Macaca mulatta: one gene and its partner. The protein of the gene in region 1 purifies or fractionates together with the protein of each later gene. This does not show direct contact. Links are inferred from orthologs where the notes say so. Each region holds a gene or a part of one and is shown in the gene's direction. Other genes may lie near its edges.

Region 1 (3,651 bases):
ATGAGAAGTGAGGGTTAAATGTTTTCCAGGTAGAGAAAAGGAACACCATGTGCTGTGTCTTTAGAACCAGGGGTATCCAGTCTTTTGGCTCCCCTGGGCCACATTGGAAGAAGAGTAATTGTCTTGGACTACACACCAAATACACTAATGATAGCTGATGAGCTAAAACAAACAAACAAAAAATTGCAAAAGAATCTCATAATGTTTTAAGAAAGTTTACGAATTTGTGTTGGGCTACATTCAGAGCTGTCCTGGGCCACGTGGCCCATGGGCTGCAGGTTGGACAAGCTTGCCTTAGAAGGAAAGAGATTGTGGAGATCCAGGTGCTGAAGAGAAGGTCTGTGTAAACAGAACTTAGTAAGTAATGAGGTGGATGGCCTGGTATGAGGTTGAGGTTAGGTAAGCAGAGCCATAACATGCAGGACTTTCTAGGTTCCTATAAGATGTTTACTACTCATGGAGTTTATTCATGCTTTATTCCAGCTTTGGAGCCATAGATACAGAATACTTGGTCAGTTTGGAAGGCTAGGTGGGATCCAAATTCTAAACGGTTTCTCGGGGTTATACTAAAGTATTGTCTGCTATCTTAAAAGGATGCCGAGACACTTTTGATGGTTGTTGATCAATAGCAAAGCATCACAGTGGTGTGTTTAAAATATTAATAATAGCATTGTTTAGATTAACAGTTTGAATGACCAAAAGGTAGAAGACCAGACTGCTGAGATGTTATAGGCTTTTAGGAATCAAATAGTTTGGTTTTAGAACTAAATAGCTAAGGGCAAATGTCTGAGATGTCTGAAAGAATCACAGAATGTAATAATATAGGAGCTAAGGGAGCAACCAAAAATGGTTTGTGGAGGGGACAGTATTGGTACCATGAAGATAAATGGAACCCTCAGAAGGCATCCTTAATTTTTGAACATAATAATTTAAGAAGCTGACTTAGGCCGGGCGTGGTGGCTCACGCCTGTAATCCCAGCACTTTGGGAGGCTGAGGCAGGTGGATCACCAGGTCAGATCGAGGCATCCTGGCTAACACGGTGAAACCTCGTCTCTACTAAAAATACAAAAAATTAGCCATTTAGCCAGGCATGGTGGTGGGCGCCTGTAGTCCCAGCTACTGGGGAGGCTGAGGCAGGAGAAGGAGAATGGCATGAACCCGGGAGGCGGAGCTTGCAGTGAGCCAAGATCGCGCCACTGCACTCCAGCCTAAGCGACACCATCTCAAAAAAAAAAAAAAAAAAAAACGAAGCTGACTTAAAGTGACTAAAAGGTCAGTAGGTAGCTGGAAATGTAAGGTACTAGAGAATGCAAGAGAGACAGGCTAGAGATTTGGAAGTTTCCCTTTTAGTATATAGGGGTAAGGGCAGCAGGGAACGGGAGATAGAGATGCCACAGAGTCATCTGCATGGGACTTTTTTTACCCTAGAACTGCTGAAACAGAATGTGTGTGTTTTAAAGTCTCTGTAGGCCATTCTGATGGACATCTGGGGTTAAAATCCATTCTCAGAGTTAATAGTTATGTAAAGGGAGGGAATGAAGTCTTAATGAGGGGAAAGAAGGTAGTCATTTCACAAATACTGAGCATCCTGAGTATCAATCTTATGCAGATCCTTCTATTAGTAGCTGGAGCTACTATGAAAAAGGAACCCAATAGAGGTGATCTTTGTCTTGTAGGGAAAGTGGACTAACTTATACTATGAAGGAGAAGTGCAGGGTACCGTAAGAATTACAGCAAATAGACTTCATCTGAGGAAATAAAACAGACCTAAAAGATGAAGGAGACAAGGAAAAGTATCTCTTACTGCATTTAGAAGTGGTTTAAGTTGAAGATGGAGGGGTGAAGTTAATCTAGTATGTGGGCATTGGGTTTCCATTTATACTCCTTTGCCAGAGTAAATGTCCCCCATTTAAGGGTCCTAAAGGATTGGAAGGTCGTGAACCTTGGAACACATGTATTGCAGTCAGTGAACTGTATAAAGTCCCTGGCAGTAAAGTGTTTTCATGCCGACTTTCTGGATTGTTCTTACCCCAGAAATTTACCTAGCTTCTTTAGGTCTTTAGTCAGATGTCACCTTCACAGTGAGGTGACCTAATTACTTAAAATTGCAGCCCCACTCCATTGTTTTTCTCCATAGCCCTTTAATATCATCTGACCTACTGTATGGTTTTAGTTTATTGTATATTTGTTGTCTGCCTCTTCCAACTAGATCATAAGTTCTGAGGGTAGGAACTTTTGAATATTTTTGCTCACTGGTCTATCTCCAGCTCAGAACAGGACCTGATAGTGAATAAATATTTTTGAAATGATTGAATGGATGAAAAGAAATTAATAAGAATATTACCGCTGGGCGTGGTGGCTCTCATGCCTGTAATCTCAGCGCTTTGGGAGGCCAAGGCAGGCGGATCACAAGGTCAGGTGATCGAGACCATCCTGGCTAACATGGTGAAACCCTGTCTCTACTAAAAAATATAAAAAATTAGCCGGGTGCCTGTAGTCCCAGTTGCTCGGGAGGCTGAGGCAGGAGAATGGCATGAACCCGGGAGGCAGAGGTTGCAGGGAGCCGAGATTGTGCCACTGCACTCCAGCCTGGGCGACAGAGCGAGACTCCGTCTCAAAAAAAAATATATTACCTAAGGGGGATAGTGGAGATAACAAAGACTTCTTCGGCTTAGGAAAGGAACAGTAGCTATTTGACAATTTGTCACTAGCGATGTGAACTGGCAAAACGAGGGAAACTGAGCAACATTCTAGAAAATGAGAGGAAAACAAATACTTAGGTAAAAGGAAGTAAACTCTGGAAATAAAGAAGGACACCTTCTAAGACTAGAAAATATATTTAGGATTGATAGCAACTTCTAGCTAATGACTAGGGTCTTACATCCTTTTTAATTTTCTAGGTGGAATGCAAGCTTTAGGACTTCACCTGACAGATCCAAGTCAACGTCTTGTTCAGAACTGTCTTTGGACTCTCAGGAATCTTTCAGATGCTGCAACTAAACAGGTAAATTCTGAGTAAATTGACGCCATGGGAATAGAGTCAAGATGAGTATGTGCTTGTACTGACCATTTGTTTTTATCTTCATAGGAAGGGATGGAAGGTCTCCTTGGGACTCTTGTTCAGCTTCTGGGTTCAGATGATATAAATGTGGTCACCTGTGCAGCTGGAATTCTTTCTAACCTCACTTGCAATAATTATAAGAATAAGATGATGGTCTGCCAAGTGGGTGGTATAGAGGCTCTTGTGCGTACTGTCCTTCGGGCTGGTGACAGGGAAGACATCACTGAGCCTGCCATCTGTGCTCTTCGTCATCTGACCAGCCGACACCAAGAAGCAGAGATGGCCCAGAATGCAGTTCGCCTTCACTATGGACTACCAGTTGTGGTTAAGCTCTTACACCCACCATCCCACTGGCCTCTGATAAAGGTAAATTGTCAAAGTAGAATTTACCTTTGTTGCAGAATTGAAAATGAAGCATCTCTAGCCGTTGGATGGCTAAGCATAGTGATCAATAAATAGGAATTGTATTCCTTAGTAAGTAGGAAGTATGGCTGCGATAGGGGTAGGATTCTGAAATGTTTGTGTAGTCAGAACTACTTTTAGTTGTTCCCAATAGATTTATTGTGGTGGGAATTTTAGGCTAAGAAAA
Region 2 (3,651 bases), on another chromosome or scaffold:
ATAATATTTGACCAAATATCTTGGTACCATGGCCTAGCCCAGTTGACATATAAAACTAACTATCACAACTAGCATGTAAGCTCCATGAGGACAGCTTTCTTTACTGCAGGGCTTCTCCAGGCCTCTGTTTATGTATATTGTGACTCTCTGGCCAGAAAATACAGTCTATAGTGTTCCCCAGTCCCATTCGATACTGGAACCATTAGTTTGTGTTCCTGTTATTCTTAGCCAAACAATTTGTACCATTCTTCTCTAAACCATAGAACTCCTACAGTCTTATAGAACTCCTGCCTATTCTTACAAACATCATCTTTTAGAAATATTTTAAAGTATGACTTTCTAATTCTGGAAAATGATTGTACAAAATGGTTGCACAAAATAATTGCATCATAATTTGCAAGCATAAATAATTAAGAACTGTACAACTACTGCTAAGATGAAACTCAGCATACTTCTTCCCCCATTTAATTTCTGGTAATTTATTTTGTTTCTACTTCAATGGAATAGAAATAAATAGGACTTGCATAGTTGGTGGGGTGGGAGTATTTTGTTTGTTCAAGAAAGTTCTGACCATAAATCAAGCCTTTCCTCTTTATTTGAGGCTTCTCTTAGTATGTATAAACTTTTTTATTTCCCATGTTTGCCACTGAAATTTTGAGATTTACCAAACAGAATGGACTTTTGGAAGCCAAGATAATATGCGTACAGATAGGAGACAAATGGAGAGGTTAGAAGGATTGTTATAAGATGTTGTATTTATCATGTTTCATGCTATAAAGAGGCTGTGTGTATGTATACCATGTGATTTGGTTTAACCAGTGTCTTATTACTAATACAGGGAAATCCAAGAGATATTTTCATCTCCTGCTTGTCTAACTGGAAGTTTTTTAAGGAAAAGGTAATATATGTAATAAATTAATTGTATTAAATTGTATTAAGAGTACCATGAAAGAGGATAAAAAATGATTGGAGGGTAAAATAATTAGCTGTGTGTTCGTCCCTTTCTAAAAATTGTTTTTTAACAAAAGTAAATATATGCTTGCTGTAGAAAATGTCAAAAATACATACAATAAAAAGAAAGTGAAAATCTTCCATAATCCATCACATAAGAGTAATAGCTAGCACTTATGTATATTATTTTTTCATGCAAATGTATTCTTTTACAAAAAATGAGATCATACTGGTTTTTTGTTTTTGTTTTTTGAGACAGGGTGTTACCCTGTCGTTGCCCATGCTGGAATGCAGTTGTGTGATCTTGGCTCATTGTAACCTTCGCCTCCCAGGCTGTAGCAATCCTCCCACCTCAGCCTGAGTAGCTGGGGCTTCAGACATATGGCACTACACACAGCTAATTTTTTTATTTTTTTGTAGAGCCAGAGTTTTACCATGTTGGCCAGGCTGGTTTCGAACTCCTGAACTCAGGCAATTTACCAGCCTTGGCCTCCCCAAGTGCTGGGATTTCAGGCGTAAGCCACCATGCCCAGCTGGATCACATTGTTTATACGTTGTTTTATACTTAATGTTTGCCCATTTTACATTTTGTTCTATCTTTTTTGGTATACATATGTGTGTGTGTGTGTGTATGTATGTATGTATGTATATATATATATATATATATATATATATATATATATATATGTATTTTTTTTTTTTTGAGACAAGGTCTCCTGGAGTTACAGCATCATGGTTCTTGGGCTTAAGCATCATCAAACTCTTGGGCTCAAGCAATACTCCCACCTTAGCCTTCCACGTAGCTGGGACTACAGGCATGTGCCACCATCTCCTGCTAATTTTTTAACTTTTGTAAAGACAGCAGCTTTGCTATGTTGCCCAGGCTGGTCTTGAACTCCTGGCCTCAAGCAGTCCTCCCACCTCAGCCTCCCAGTGTTGAGATTATAGGTGTGAGCTACCACACGCAGCCGGTAACATAATTTTAATGGCCTCATGACCTTCCATTAGAAGGTCTTCCATGAGAAGATACTTAAACATTTCATTAATGACTTTATATTGAAGTACTAAGAAATTATTGGTCAGAAGCTCCCTCTTTTGGTTCCCACTTTTCAGTCCATTTAACTGGAAAAAATGGATGTATTTTTTAGAAATGGGAAAAACCTTTATCTTTTTTCTGTGGAGCTCCTTCCTTCCTTCCGTCCTTCCGTCCTTCCTTCCTTCCGTCCTTCCTTCCTGTGGTTGGTCCTTCCTTCCTGTGGTTGGTCCTTCCTTCCTGTGGTTGGTCCTTCCTTCGTTCCTTCGAAAAACATTTATCTTTTTTCTATGGCCCACCCTTCGTCCCTCCCTCCCTTCCTTCCCTCCCTTCCTTCCTTCCTCCCTTCCTTCCTTTCTTCCTTCCTTCCTTCCTTCCTTCCTTCCTTCCTTCCTTCCTTTCCTTCCTTTCCTTCCTTTCCTTCCTTTCCTTCCTTTCCTTCCTTTCCTTCCTTTCCTTCCTTTCCTTCCTTTCCTTCCTTTCTGAGGCAGGGTCTCGCTCTGTCACCCAGGCTGGAGTACAGTGGCATGTTCACAACTCACTGCAGCCTTGACCTCTCAAGCTCGAGCAATTCTCCTGTCTCAGCCTCCCTCTGTGGCTATTTTTTTTAAACTGAGAAATATTTATTTTTTTAATCTATTACAGATAAGACAGCATCTGAGTTAAAGTCTTATGGTATATATAGTTAAAGCAGCCTTGATATTTTTTGGTATTTTAGAAAAAATCATGTTGTTTACTACATTGCATTTGTATTTAGACAATTATAGTTATACATGAGAAAAAATGTAATTTTGTTGAAATGGGGCAAGCTCTGGAAGAAACTTTGCATCTAGAGAGATAATCTAACAAGATACTTAATTTATCTTCTACAGAAGAACTACAGAAATGATGCCTGTTTATTTGGACTTAAATAAAGCAAGAAACATCTTCAAGGAGTTAACCCAAAAGGACTGGATTACTAACATGGTATCTTCAGATTGTTATGTGGAGAAAGAAAATAGACCAGAATATTTCTTATAAGAACTCAAAATTTCAGAAGAAATGTTTTGTGTTAAGGGATTCTCCGAGACCTTGTAGCATATTCAGATTAAGTTAAACTCAGATAACAATTAGGAGTTTGCCCTTTTAGGGTGAAATAATTGGCATAGTAGTCACACAGGTTACAAATATTCTAAATAATGTGTCTGTACACAAACACACATGCACATATATGCATACACATTCCTAGAGGGAGGGAAGTTTTTCAACTCAGGGCTTTAGGAAGATGATTAAGGATTTGTTGAGATTGGCACACTAGAATAAGAACATTTTATGTGCAATCCTTTTAAGCGTAAATGTAGAAATAAGAACATTTTTTCTGATATGAATATCCTTCTCACCAGGGACTGCCTGGATTCTTTGTTTTTTTTTTTCCATTCCACTTTTCTGTAGATTCTAGAATGTTCTTGTTCTTTATGGGATGATTGCTTCCTGTTTCAGCACTGTTAGTACTATCTTTAAGTTTTTTTTCTTGCAGGTGCTCCGAACATGCTTCCTTTATTTTTATTTTTATTTTTTTGGAGATGGAGTCTCGCTCTGTCGCCCACACTGGAGTGCAGTGGCACAATCTCGGCTCACTGCATGCTTCCTTTATTAATTTAGTTTTTCTTAATGTAGTCTTTATTATT

What was found. The genes of interacting proteins can lie anywhere in the genome.
Region 2: the proteins of CTNNB1 (region 1) and HERC5 purify together in Homo sapiens (affinity purification with western blotting; 3 studies listed by BioGRID). This does not show direct contact. The link is inferred for Macaca mulatta from reciprocal best matches to the Homo sapiens genes CTNNB1 and HERC5.

Annotation. Positions count from the first base shown.
Region 1 is NC_133407.1:104,572,606-104,576,256, forward strand, and holds part of CTNNB1 (catenin beta-1), read left to right. Parts: intron 1-2,901; coding exon 2,902-3,005; intron 3,006-3,089; coding exon 3,090-3,428; intron 3,429-3,651. UniProt on the Homo sapiens protein: Key downstream component of the canonical Wnt signaling pathway.
Region 2 is NC_133410.1:97,791,290-97,794,940, forward strand, and holds part of HERC5 (E3 ISG15--protein ligase HERC5), read left to right. Parts: intron 1-838; coding exon 839-898; intron 899-2,856; coding exon 2,857-2,950; intron 2,951-3,651.